Linked DNA regions of Caenorhabditis elegans. The protein of the gene in region 2 purifies or fractionates together with the protein of the main gene of each other region. This does not show direct contact. Each region holds a gene or a part of one and is shown on either strand. Other genes may lie near its edges. The genes, in order: dnj-30 and hsp-75.

Region 1 (7,276 bases), on a different chromosome or scaffold from region 2:
ATGTATATGGAGAAATTAATGACAATTTAATTTAATTTGAAAATGAGGGCATGTAATTCACAAGTACCAAAAAACAATCTAAGGTGAGTATTTTTCGCAAAAAAAAGAAAATTTTAAATTGAGAAATTCCTTTTAAAAAAGCTTTTCTTTTTGAAAGCAACCAAAAAAACACAGCAATTATTACAGAAATACAAAATTCTGAGAATGCGTATTGCACAACACATTTGACGCGCAAAATATCTCGAAGCGAAAACTACAGTAATTCTTTAAATGATTACTGTAGCCCTTGTGTCCATTTAAGCGCTACAGTTGTCATTTAAAGATTTACTGTAGTTTTCGCTTCGAGATATTTTGCGCGTCAGATATGTTGTGCAATACGCATTCTCAGAATTTTTTTGCTTCCGTAATGAACCAAACTTGACGCGCAAAATCCAAAATTTTCACTTAAAAATTTCGCAAATTTTTCAGAACCCAATCGAGCCATCAACACGTCCATTGCTCGAGCCACCAACTGCTCCGCCACCACAACCACCGGTATACATGCAAATGGCGACGAATCCTCAGAATTCATGGAGACCCAGTAAGGTCGTCTGAGCGAGATTTTTCCGCGCCCATTTCATCCCAATTTCCCATGACAAAACCGATGATCTTTATATTATTTTTTGTTTGTTTTTAATGCATTCAACCATCATTTCTTCTCTCTTTACTTTTGATTTACGGGTTTTTTCTACTTTTTCCGAAATTTTTTTTCTTCAAGGAAACTATAATAAAAAATTTTTCACAAAAAACTTGTTGAGATTTTACACAATAATGCAGAGGTGGGCGGCAAACGATTTTTTTCCGGCAAATCGGCAATTTGCCGGAATTCAAAATTTCCGGCAAATTGGCAATTTGCCCGAATTGATATTTCCGGCAAACCGGCAAATTGCACGAATTTAAATTTTTGGCAAATCGAAAAATTGCCGAAAATGAATATTTCCCGCAAATCGGCCAATTGCCGGAACTGAAGTTTTCGGCAAATCGGCATACTGGCAATTTCCCGATAAAAATTTGCCGAACGGCAATTCCACTCTTGTATTAATGATGGGAATACGTTTTACTTTTTACTTTTAAATTTGGTTTATCGTTTTTTTTTGAATTTTCAAATAAATTTGGAAAAAATTGAAAATATCCGGAAATTAAATTTAAACAAAAATTAAAACTTCAAAATTTCCAGTTTTCGTAATTTTTTGGAGGTTTTTAATGGTTTTTTTACAAAAAAAATTCGAATAAAATAATTTTTTACAAAAACTTGTTGAGATTTTACACAATAATGATGGGAATATAATGAATGAGAATAAATAGAAAAATTCAAAGAGATCAATAATTATTTCTGAAGTTTAACTTTCGGAGGTTTGAATGCTGCACCCTTCAACGTCTTTCCCTTATCCTCTTTTTTCGCCTTTTTCGCCTGGAAATTTCTCCAGCTTCCGGAACGTTCGTCACGAGATTCTTCGTAGTTTTTCGCGAATTCTTCGGCCAGTTTACGCTTCTCTGCTGCTTGGACTAACGCTTCAGTTGAGCGGCGTCTGAAAAATTTTTGTGATTTTCTTAAAGGCAATTTTTGAATGCAAAAAATTGTTTTCAAATGAGTTTTCAGAAAAATGTAATTTTTAATACAACATTTTTTAGAGCAAAATTCGAAACTTCCCAAGAAATTCTAGATTTTAGATATTTTAACCCGAAATTTTGAGGTTTTCCGCTTTGGAAAATGAGAATTACCAATTATTGTATTTTTCTTTTAAAAAAGTCGGATTTTTATCAATTTATCTTATTTTCTTCAAGGATTTTCAGGAAAACTTCAAAAAATATATGGTTTTGATATAAATAAACCTGAAAATTTTCAGAAATTTTTGGCAAATTCAATTTTTTTTAAATAATTTTTTTCTTAATATCTGTTCAATTTTTGCATTTTTTATTAAAAATTATTCAGTTTTTTGAAATAAATATCTGAAAAATCAATTGTATTTTATTTTTCTTAAAATTAAAAAAGTTTTCTTAAAAAAGAAACAGTAAAATTGCCAAATTTACTTTTTTTTTAATTTTTAAAAAATTGTTTTACATTTTTTACTTGATTTTAAGCAAAAAACCAAAAAAATTACAAAATTAATTTTTTTAAATTGGAATTTTTCTTCTTTTGTTTCTTCTGAAAACTCGGATTTTTGTGATTTTATCTCAATTTTTCTTTGTTATTTCCGATTTTTCTATTCCATTTTTTTTCAATTTTTTCAATTTTTTTCAATTTCTAATTAGAAATTGATCCTAATTCGGTTTTTCTCCAATTTACTATCAATTTCCCGTACTTTTCCTCATTCGCCCTCTCTTCAAGCATCTTTCTCTTCTTCTCTCGATCAGCAAACACTTTTGTTACAGTAATCCACAGAGCTTTCTTGTATCCAGCTGGATCATCTTCTTCAATCACATCTTCTTTTCCATCTTTTCGCAATTTTCGCTTTTTCTCCGACATCTGGAAGAAATTCGGTTTTTTTAAATGAATTTTTGAGAAAAAAAATATACAATTTTTGATTTTTGTTAACGATCTTGGAGGTAGGATTGCACAGTCTCCTCGGCGTCGAATTGGGCTGGGGCGCACTTGCTCACACCTTGGCGCAGCCGGGGGAGGGAGTGAATCTTTTTAGTGTTGAAAAATAAACTTCGTCGTTTTTTAGCGTTGAAACGAATTTTTTCGCAGATTTCGAACTTAAAATTTGTTTATTAGCACAAAATGAAATGAAAGACCATTAAAAGAGAAAATTTGGTCAAAAACTGAAGGAGGAGTAGGGATATTAAAAAATCAACGGTAAAAATGGTGTTTCTCTAAAGAAATCATATTTTTCTTGTATATTTCAAGTCACCCACCTTCGCGATCATCTTCTTCATCCTGAAGATAATTATCAAAAGAGGCGGGGCTGTAATTTTGGAATTCTAGCCTATTTTCCGCGTAATTTCTGAATTTCGGAAAATCCACAAAATGCGCTAGCAAAAACGCGAAACGCGCCAGTAAGCAGTTTTTTGTGCGCTTTCGATGACGAGGAGACTGTGGATTGTGGTTTTTTTTTGGTTTTTTTCAACAAAAAAATTGAAAAATGTATTTTTTAAAATTTTATATATATATATATATTCCCTCGAATTTCGTTCACTTTTCATAATTTTTGTATAAAATTACAATTTTTCTTCGAAGAAACATAATTTTTTGATTAAAATTTGCTTCAAAAATTTTTTTTTTTAATTTTTAGGATACAAACTAATTTTTTTCGTGGTCTTGGATTTTCGAGTGAATTTTAAAAAAACAATTTTTACAAAAAAACGAAAAATTTCCGAATTATATGAAATTTTTTGCGAAACTACGTTTTCTTCACAAAATAATCAAGAAAAAAACGATTTTTTTCCAAAAAAACGTTAAAAAAGTAAATTTTTGATAATTTACTTTTTTTCAATTTTTTGGAAAATTATTTTTAAAATAATACGCTTTTGGTTTATATCAGTAATTTTGTTTTTTTCTAGTTTTTTTTCCTCATTTTTTGAAGAAAAAAAATATAAAAAATAATTGTCTTCAGATTTGTTCAAAAAATATTTTGCGAAAATTGCAAATTTTTGGCTTTTTCTATTTTATTTTCACATCAACATAAATTAGAATTTTTTTTGTTCATTTTCTAAAAAAAAATTTTTTTGGATTTTTCGATTTTCAGTGAAAAACTACAAAATAATGAGAAAAATGGGATGAATTTTTGTGATTTTTCTTTCGTTTTTTTTGATTAAAAAATCGAAAAAAAAAATCCAAATTTCGGCATTTTTTTTTTCCAGAAAAATCCAATTTTTTAAAAAATTTTCTCAGAATTTCCATGCAAATCTTCATAGTTGCTCCGTACCACAATAGCAAGCCGAGCTTTTCCCTCCGTATAACAATCTTTGCATCGATTCAACTCAATCGGATCCTCCATTTGCTTAATCGCCTTCTTCACAATATCAAAAGCTTTGTCAGCACGTTCTCGATCATCTGGATTTTTATCCGGATGCACAAGTAGTGAGAGCTTCTTGTATTTCTTCTTAGCCGCCTCGATATCCGTGTCCAAATCGATTTGGAGCACTTCATATGGGTTAAGGTTCAAATATGTGGAACCGGGCTTCAAAAGTCGCTCGATTTGTTGCTCAGAAGTAAGAGCCGCGTCCTGTTGCTCCGTGGATTTTAGCTGGAAAAATTTAAAAATGTTTTTAAAATTTTTAATGGTTTTTTTCAACTTTTTCAAAAAAAAATTGGTTTTTTTTCAAATTTTTCTCTTGAATTTAAAAATTTTTGAGAATTATTTTTGAATTCCCGCGCATTTTCTGGCCATATTTTGTGGTTTTTCTTTGGATTTTTAAAAATTTCAGCCAAGTTTTCTTTAAAAAATAAAAATTTTATTTGGAATTCGCGATTTTGAAGCCAATTTCAAAGTTTTGGCGAAATTTTATTTTTTTTATAGTTTTATAATTGATAGCCAGCTGAAAAAACTCGCTAAAACTTCAAAATTGGCCCTAAAATCGATATTTCCACATAAAATTAATATTTTTTCGCGGAAAACTGTCTGAAAATTCGAAACATTCCAGAAAAACCAAGAAATGTACACTTTTTTCAAATTTTTTGAAAAAAAAAACTTACATCCTGATAAAATGACTCAAACTGGGACATTTTTTGCTGGAAAAAATTTTTTTTTTAAAATTAGATTTTAGGAAAAATATTAAGGAAAAAAATATATAGACAATAGCGACATTCAACGCAAAAAAATCGAAAATCTGAAGAAAAAATAAGGGAAAAAAAACCAAATTTATTAAATTTGAAAAATGTCGACTAGAAATAATCTCAAAAGGGTCATGGATTGAGTACATAAAAACTAATTGCATATTATTTAAACGCGGAAAAATCCGTATTTTAAAACCAAGTTGCAAACGCGCTCCTCTGCTAAAAGTTGGGTCTCGTTAGAAATGGCGGCCAAATCTAAATATTTTTAACAATTTTCGATGATTTTCACCTCGAAACCAACGAAAAATCATTGAAAACTTTTGAAATTACGGTTTTCTCGCCAATACTTAAAGGTGGACTACGCTCAGTGGGGAAATTGCTTTAAAACATGCCCATGGGGCCACAATGACAGAATATCATGATAAAAAAATTCAAAAAAATTTTCTAGATTTTATGATTTTTTGAAAATTGAAAAAATCACAGTTTTCAACCAATTATTTTTGAATTGAAAATGATTAAAACTCTGATATTCTGAGTTCCGACGACAACAAGCCTGAAATTAGTATATTCACAGTTTTACTCATTTTCAATTACTTTTTAACAAACATTTTGCGTTTGTCTTTTTTATTTCTTTCATTTTCCGAGGAAAAAACATAGAAAATGAAGAAAATCAGTCAAATAACGAGAATAAATAAAATTAATTAATAAAAATAATGCAAGCGCGCTCAATCGAACGAATCCGATTGGTGGAAATTCAAAAATAATTAGGTGAAAACTGTTATTTTTCCAATTTTCAAAAAATTATATAAAATCTAGAAAATTTTTTTGAATTTTTATATCATGATATTCGGTCATTGTGGCCCCATAGGCGTGTTTTAAAGCAATTTCTCCACTGAGCGTAGTCCACCTTTAAGGAGACCCAACTATTATCCGTGGAGCGCGCTTGCACCACGATTTCAAAAAAGCACATTTTTCTGCGTTTACATAATAACAATATTTCACATCTCAAATTGCAATCTATCTACATGTGGTTGAATCTCATCAATTGTTGGCTGAAGCCTGAACTGGAGCACCGAGCAAATTGGAAGCTCATAAGCCAAAAGATCGGATTTCGGCTCGCGGAGCTGATCTTCGGCCTGTTCGATGTACGATTTGATCGTAGACTTCTTGTAATCATTCATTTTAAGGGCGACGAGGAGAGCGGCTCCGGCGACACATTTTCGATTGACTTTTGAGATTAGACCCTGGAAAAAAATTGATTTTAGATTTAAATAGATATGAAAATCTCAAAAAAATTGAAATTTAAAAAAAAACCAGCTTTGATAATAATTATAAACTGATTTTAGCTTAAAATCGACTATAAAATATTTTAAAATTTTTAAAATTGCCTACAGTAACCTTAAAGGCGCATACCCTAATTGCTTTACAAATTTCGCGGCGAGACCCATCCTCCTCCAAATGTGGCCTCCCTGTAACCATTTTCAGATTTTTTCTTGAATTTTCCGACAGTTTCTCAAAGTTTAAGCTTTTAAATAATTTTTTAGACGTAATTTATGCTATTTTCTATTTTTCGTTGCATTATGTCGATAATAAACTAAAATTAAAGTTTTTTGGCCTAAAATTCGCTCTAAAAATTTAGATTTTCTCTGGAAAAAAAGATTTTCGATTTAAATCGATTAGAAACTGTTTTAAAAACTTAAAATTGTCTACAGTAACCTTAAAGGCGCATAGCTTAATTGCTCAACGAGATTCGCGGCGAGACCCATCCTCCTCCAAATGTGGCCTCCCTTTAACCATTTTCAGATTTTTTCTTGAATTTTCCGACAGTTTCTCAAAGTTTAAGCTTTTAAATCATTTTTTAGACGTAATTTATGCTATTTTCTATTTTTTGTTGCATTATGTCGATTATAAACTAAGATTAAAGCTTTTTGGGCTAAAAGTCGCTCTAAAAATTTAGATTTTCAATGGAAAAAAAAGATTTTCGATTCAAATCGACTAGAAAATGCATTTAAAAAGTTTGAAAATTGCCTACAGTAACCTTAAAGGCGCATAGCTTAATTGCTAAACGAGATTCGCGGCGAGACCCATCCACCTCCAAATGCGGCCTCCCTTTAACCATTATCAGGTTTTTTCTTCAGATTTTCGCAATTTTTGAGCTTTTTAATCACTTTTTAAGCTTAATCGTTGCAATTTCGTTCTTTCTAACCTTAAGAATAATTTTCTCAAAGTACACATAAGCAGTTGCCACCGTATACACATCAATTCCATTCGAGACCCCAAGTTCTGCCATTTCTCGCTTCAAACTCTTCATTTTGCTCAATGTCAGATGAATCATTGGGTATTTCGCCTCGAAATCCTCATTTATCACTTGTTTCGCCCTCTCCGCCGATTCACAATGAAGTGTGCTTGCCACGCAACACTCGTGACGGATTACAGTCCGTTTTCCGATTCCCAACTCGGAAAATGCGATCGGATCGTACTCATCGATGACTTCTGATGATGGTTCATCTGATCGGC
Region 2 (7,355 bases):
ATTGTGATGAGGACTCTTTTTCCCGTGTTTTGCAGATTTTTCAGCAGAAGACCGGCATTTTACTATCTGTAAGGTGAGAATTATCAATTTCTATTAATAATAATTGATTTTCATTCGGGATTTCAACGGCAACGGAGAGGGTTCAGACTGCTGATGGTTTTTTTCTGTTGAATGACGGCATCTTTTCATCGTCCGGAATTTCCTTCAAAATTTGGCATTAGATCAGAATAATTTCTTTCTTGTGGAGAAATTCGATGCGTGGCTAGTTAATGAGCATTTACTAAACGAGAACTTACACCATCCCGCTTATGAGAAAATAACTTACATAAAATAGGGAATCAAACTGTGCACTTTGAAAGGCAAGAAATATCTTTGGAACATAGAATTGCGAGAGAATATTCACAGAAAACGTAGAATGATGGAAGGACAACCGATAGAGACCCACGAGTGAATTCAAAAATTAAGAGCAGAGAAAATAATAATTAGGTAATATGAGAAAATTATACGTTCAGTCGCGAAATAGATGTCTAACTTCAAAAATACTAAAACATTGTATAATTAATCATGTTGTTCTTGTTCCGGTTGCTCATCACCCCATTCAAATCCACCGGGTCTTTCATCTTCAGGCAGAGGTTCCGGTCGGCGTTCATCAAACAAATATACAAGCCACTGTGGAGTTTTCAGGAATCGTTTTCCGTGCTCTTGGAATGGGAAAACATCTTCCAAGAAGAAATATATATGTCCACATGCAATTCCTGGAACAATAATTCAACTTTTAAACGAAAATGTATAATCTTTTGCAACATTAAAGATTATGACAATATAAAACAATTATTCATGAAATGCCTTACCCATAAAATCAACGACAGCATTATTTCCGAGTAAAAGTGAGAAAAGAAGAAGAACCCATGGAAGATACGGAGCTGTGAATGTTAAAACACCAAAGAAGTTCATTTGAATCATTGGGTTACGACGGCTCCATATGTAGACCAACATAATAGTGAATGCTTGTCCAAGAAATAGAATTTGTACAAAGATTCCGGATAGAATCTGAAAAATAAGAAACATTTCAATATTTTCAAAGAAAATGGATAAGTTTGAAAAATTGCTAAATATTTCATCAGTTAAAAAAAATATGTTAAAATTCAAATACTTTCACCTTCACTAGATCATCGAAAAAATAATTAATATTCTAACATAAATAGACTTATTTTCTTATTATATCCAAAACAAGTAAAAACTCATAGAATTACCATTAGAACGGCTCCAAAAAGGAACATGTATACAAAATCAGCTCTTCTTCCACGGAACGATCCTTCTTCCAGCATCATACAATATCGATATGTGAAGATCATATTGAAAAGAAAAGAAAATCCAAAAGATCCGAAAAAGCAGAATGATGTGATCAGGCGCCAGAATTGATATTTTCGGATAATCAACTCCCAGTTGAAGTATAAATGGAATGGTGTCACGAATTCCAAATGCTGTAACATTTTTTGTACAATTTGGGTAGAGACAGTTTTTTTTTCAAAATATAAATTTTTATGTTTCTTTTAAAAAACTTACCACAGCGGTTGTCAATAGCACGCAGGCTCCTGTGTAGAACCGAGTTACCGGTGGCATTTCTTCCAGAGCAGCAACTACTCCATTCATCTGAAACTACTGCTTGTAAAAAAACTATTAACCTAAAAGATAAATTAGAAAATAATCTGAATTGGTTGGAAACCAAATCTAGCTAATTTGAAAAAATCGAGAATAAAAATCAACGAATGTATGGGAAAAGGCACAGGTTCAACAGATCAAAAACACAAAAAAGGAATAAGTTATTATGATATCTATCCTAAAACTACAATAAAAACAAAAATAAATGTGGAAATTATGGCGTCAAAATGGTGCTTGTACCCTTATTTCCAGCCAAGGAAGTCAATAATTTGTTCAATCTTCCGACCATTCGGCTTGTATCTTTAATCAATCCAGCTGTGATTAGAGCATTGTCATAAATCTGAAAAAAAAATTTCAGGAAAAGACACAAGAATATGAGAGAGAGCACAGAGAAAACATAGAAACCATAACTGTGGTGTATGTACATAATAAATACACGTCAACAAACGGGAAGTTTTTTGAAAAATTTCCCAATTTTCGCAAACTGATTATTTTGTGATAGATTTGAAATTTAACTCAACTTTGATAAAGGATATTTTAAAAAAGCAAAAGTTTGCGATTAACCTTATTATTAGCCACACGCGAAAATTTGAGCCAAAAATATGGTACCAGGTCTTAACACGAATTTATTTTGCTATATATGAAAACGTGTGCTCCTTTAAAGAGTACTGTAATTCCAAACTTTTGTTGCTGCGGAATATTGATAAATTTTTCAGTTTTTTGAAGAAAATTTAATCAAAACTCCAATATAAGAATATACATAGTACACAAATTTTAACCAAAAACTAGGAAAAAGCGATAAAAATTCCGCAACGACGAAAATTTGAAATTACAGTACTCTTTAAAGGCTCACACTTGTCCGCATTAAAAAAAAACTTGTGGTGAAACCGGGTACCCGGGTATACCCTTTTTTAACGAAATTTTTCTTTTAAAACCTCACCTGCTCAGCCAAAATAGCCGCGGTTTCCTTATCTGTTTTTCTCATTTTGTACATTGCCTTGACCAATGGATGTGTTAAATTAACATGAACATGTGGTTTGAAGTACACTAAATGCTCCATATCCTTGATTTCTCCGGTTCTCAAGAAATGACGAGCCGCTCCCATATCGAGCACAGTCACCATGACTGGATGCTCACTCGGACGATGGTTGCCTAGAAACAATATTATTAATAAGCATAGCTTTCTACGCGTTTCGGGACATTATGACATTTTGAAATTAGTTTTTTTGGTTGTGAAAATTCGCTTAGAAAAAAACTTACCAGAAATTTCAGAAACTCGAACACTTCCAAGTGTTTCTTTCATCCAATCGAGGAGCTCTTTCTTCTCATTATCTCGGAAATCTTCTGAATAAATAACTTATTGAGTTTGAATTGGAGTTTTTTCTTTCGTTTTTTCCATGAACAGTAAAAACTTCTAAATTCAAAAAAATTCTTAAAAAATTAGTGAAACTGACTAGTATCCTTCTTATCATCAGTTCCAGTCTTTTCAGCTTCTTCTTGAGCCCACTTTTCAACTGGAACTAATTGTTTCATTCCAAACTGCCCAAGACCCAAGAACACAACTTCGTCGGCTGGATCATAAAGAAACAGAACTTCCTTATTTTGTGACTTGATGACTTCATAATAAGGAGATGATTCAGCTAGTTGACGGCTGAAAATTGACAAACTCATTGATTTTCATTAAACTTTCAAGAAAAACGTACTTGTTAGCATACATATAGTAGATCTCTTTCTGTCCTTCTTGCATTCTCTTTACATAATCTCCAAGACTTGTTAGTTCTCCAGCCTTCTTTGAAGAAGACTCAAATAATAACAACTTTGCAACATCCTCCTTCACTCCTTGATCTTGTTCAGTTACAACTCCTTCTTTGAAATACAAGGAATAGTTTTTGAAGAATTCCGAGTACTTCACAGGATCTTTTTTCATTTCCGATTGAAGACTGCCCAAGATTTTGTCGGTGATAATTTTACGAAGTTTACGGAGAACTGGATTATTTTGCAGCATTTCACGGGATAAATTCAGAGGAATGTCCTCCGAATCGACAACTCCAATCACAAAACGAAGATAACTACAAATACTCGAGTTTCAGAGGTTTTAAATTTGAAAACTCTTACTTTGGAATCAACTCCTGGGCATCTGGCTTAATAAGAACTCGTCTTGCATAGAGTGAGAGTCCACACATCGTCTGTTGAGCCATGAACGTTAGCTGGTTGAATTGAGTCTGTGGAATGTAGATAACTGATCGAAGAGATACTGGAGTATCAGTTTGAAAATGAATTGTGTATTGTGGACGAGTATACATTTCTTGTTTTCCTTGCGTTTTCACGAGTTGTCTGGAAATATCAAATTTAATAATCTATAAAATAAAATTACATTAACTAACTTGAAGAATGTTTCATGCATTTCTTTGTTAACTTCTCTCGCCTGCATCGTCCAAATTGCATTCAAATTGTTCACTCTCTCTCCATTCACCAAAATTGGCGCAGAAACAAAATACGAATATTTATTGATAACTTCTTTGATTCTATCTTCTTCCGCATAGGTTGCCGAATCTCCAACTTTCAGTCTAATCTCAATTTTAGTTCCAGTTTGAAGCCCGGATGTTTCAGCAATTTCATACGAGTTGTCTCCATTCCATGTCCATTGAAGGCCATCGGCATCCGATGAACCAACTTTTCTAGTCGTGACAACAACGGAATCAGCAACCATAAAAGCTGAGTAGAATCCAACTCCGAATTGTCCAATAACTGCTTCAGCGTTTTCCTTGTTCTATAAATTAAAACAAATATGATTTTCATTGTTTTATCAGAATTTATCCTCACATTCTCAATGAAATCCTTCGATCCTGATTTTGCAATAGTTCCCAAAAACTTTACAAGATCCTCTCGATTCATTCCGATACCGGTATCCTCAAATGTGATTGTTCGTTTGTCTTTGTTAGTCGTGATTCGAATTTCACTTGGACCTTCTGCCACGTCACCTTTCAATTCTGCGTATCGTCTCTTCTCAAGAGCATCCGAAGCATTGGAAATGAGCTCGCGAACAAATACCTAAAACAAAAATTAAATACTTGTGGAATACATCAATTTCCTATATTTTTTGAGAATAAGGAAATATTCTGCCAATTTTTTTCGCGAAGTATACGGTATCCGGTCTCGACACGACAAACTTTGTTAAAGACAAAAAGGTGTGCGCCTTTAAAGAGTACTGTAATTTGAAATGTTCGTTTTTGCAGAATTTTTATCGCTTTTTTGAAGTTTTCGCACGATTTGTCAAAGTTCATGTCGAGACCGGGTACCGTACTTTTGACGCAAAATTCAAAAAATTTTGTGTCTGGGCTATATTGAACTTTTTAAAAAATATTTACCTCGCTGTGTGAATACAAGGATTTTGCGACAATGTCCATAAGATTCCGTGTCTCTGCTTGGAATTCATGTCTCTGTGGTTCAGAAGCCATCCATCTCCGTTGTGTTGGTACAGAAGGGGTGAAATGTGAAGCGGTGATGGGAGCTACGTATCTCATTGTTCGCATGATCCTGCCAGTTAACATCCGTACCGGGAGCGACATCTAATAAAATGATTTTTGGATCTGGAAAGGCAATAGGATGGAGATAATGATATTTGGAAAACAAACCAGTTCATAAAACAACTCTTGGCAGATATAAAACAGTATAAAAAAATTTTATGAAGCAAGAATCGAAATATTAAGGAATGCAAAAAGTAAAAACCTGAAATTCAATGGAAAATTGAGTGTAGTACAGAAAATGAATAATATGGAATATTTAAGAAAATACAATTCGTGAGATTCAATATCAGAAAGCAAAAAAAACTATTTTTTCTTCTTGGGCGTGGTCTTCTTCTTCTGAAAGTGCGATAGAATGTAATCCTGACTATCTTGCGATGAAGAAATCATATCGTGATATTTTTCGTGAACTTCATTAACTGAGAAATGCAGAGCCGGATTAGAAATTGTAGTCAGATCTCCGTGATTCGTAATATTCTGGTACATCATGTCGGTGAAGTCAATTGTTCTAAAAATCAGTTGTATTATTTGTTATCAAATTATTTCTTTACTTACGTGTTATTTCCTCCAGGAGTTTCCAAATGAGATGCATGTCGTGTCGATCCAGGTGACATTGATAGATCTCCACCGAAATATTGTTGCATAATGCTGTCTTTCTGAAAAATTAGAAGATTTTTTTACAATTCGATATTGTCTCATTGCATACCTTCGGAGTTGGATCTGGTGTACGTAGAGATGATAAAAATGCATCATTTCTTTTTCTTTGCAATTCAGGATCTGCACTTCGTTTTGTTGGAGAGAACACGACAGATGAGAAATCAGTTGGTCCTTGAGTACTTGTACTTGGTGAGTCAGAAGTTGCAGTGAGTTCTGATATTTTATGAGCATTTGATAGAAGTAGAGATTTCTTTTCCGAATATGTAGAGGTTCTTCTCGGAATTATTGTAGTTTTTGGTGCTGCGAACACTTGTTTCACCATAAGATCCTGAATCGCAGGAGCGGAACTTGACTCTCCGGGTGGCGGACGAATCAGTAGTTGAGGAGTAACTGTTGCAAGTACTGGATTCGTTGGTTTTCGTTTTGCTGGAGCAGTCTTCTTTCGAGTTGTCTTTTTAAGAAATGCGAGTTGACATGCAAAGTCTTCAGTTTCTTGTCGAACGATGTCGCTCACTGGATTGCCAGGAACATCCGAAGTAGTATCATCACATTTTTTCTTTTTCGAAGCTGACGAACTTGGTTCTCTGTAATGATATTTGGAACAACAGCTTTTTGGAACATCGAAAAATTTCGTTTTTTCGATATTTAGAAAAATATCTTAAATTTTTGTCATTTTTTTAGCAGCTATGTTTTTCATCAACATGATCAAAATTTGATGAAAAATTTAATTTTATTGTTAATTTACTAAATATTTTTTGATCTCTCGATGTTCCCAAAAATGTTAATTTTTTAATGACACTCTTGACTCGGATTGAAAATTGAAAATACTCGGATCGGAGGAAAAAGCGACTCACGAATCTGCCGTTGGTTTGTCTCTTTTTCTGGTCTTACTCGGCGCCAAACAATCTCCGTATCCTCTATTTAATAGATTAATCATTACTTTCCAGGGTTCAGATGCTTGAATAGGTTGGTTCTCGTTATGAACTTGATATCTTAATTGGATTGGATTTTTACGGCCACACTGAAAAATAGAACAAATAAAACTGATAATAAGAGTGTTAAATTAACTTACAACACAAAAAAGTTCCGCCACAATTGCATTTCGAACATTTTTAGAATTTATTCCTTCCGCAATAATTTCATCGGTTAACGTGAAAGGTCTTGGATAAGTTACAGTATGAGATGGTTTTGTTTCTGAAAAAACAATAAATGTTTTTGTCAACTGAATCATTAACTAACTGATATTAACATCCGTCGCCACTTTTATTCCAGTTACTTCTATTTTCTTAGCTTCCAGCTTCTCCTTACTCTCTTCTACATTCTTAATCAATTTGTTCATAGACAACGAGATGAACGGTGAATTTTCGGCCGATTGAACGCATAAACTCGCTATTTCACAAGAACTATCCGGCCATAAAGTGACTGAAATAGGGGTAGAATCTCCTGCCAATGACCATTTTTTGTGCAAAAACTCGAGAAGTTTTGTGATTCGATCGTTTGCATTGAGTTTAA

Evidence for each region.
Region 1: the proteins of hsp-75 (region 2) and dnj-30 fractionate together in Caenorhabditis elegans (co-fractionation; one large-scale study listed by BioGRID). This does not show direct contact.

The regions. Positions count from the first base shown.
Region 1 is NC_003279.8:2,716,762-2,724,037, forward strand, and holds dnj-30 (J domain-containing protein), read right to left. Parts: upstream 4,715-7,276; 5' UTR 4,709-4,714; coding exon 4,679-4,708; intron 4,230-4,678; coding exon 3,909-4,229; intron 2,507-3,908; coding exon 2,343-2,506; intron 1,569-2,342; coding exon 1,367-1,568; 3' UTR 1,266-1,366; downstream 1-1,265. Other genes in the region: lin-17 (Frizzled-4), read left to right, coding at 469-594; Y71F9B.6 (Cyclin N-terminal domain-containing protein), read right to left, coding at 5,758-6,003, 6,966-7,276.
Region 2 is NC_003281.10:7,221,477-7,228,831, forward strand, and holds hsp-75 (Histidine kinase/HSP90-like ATPase domain-containing protein), read right to left. Parts: upstream 5,232-7,355; coding exon 5,031-5,231; intron 4,714-5,030; coding exon 4,486-4,713; intron 4,433-4,485; coding exon 4,047-4,432; intron 3,997-4,046; coding exon 3,778-3,996; intron 3,732-3,777; coding exon 3,366-3,731; intron 3,314-3,365; coding exon 3,117-3,313; intron 3,007-3,116; coding exon 2,923-3,006; intron 2,815-2,922; coding exon 2,603-2,814; intron 2,003-2,602; coding exon 1,877-2,002; 3' UTR 1,757-1,876; downstream 1-1,756. Other genes in the region: der-2 (Derlin-2), read right to left, coding at 559-755, 852-1,050, 1,254-1,484, 1,567-1,653; R151.8 (Myb-like domain-containing protein), read right to left, coding at 5,493-5,694, 5,742-5,842, 5,893-6,427, 6,698-6,864, 6,916-7,037, 7,083-7,355.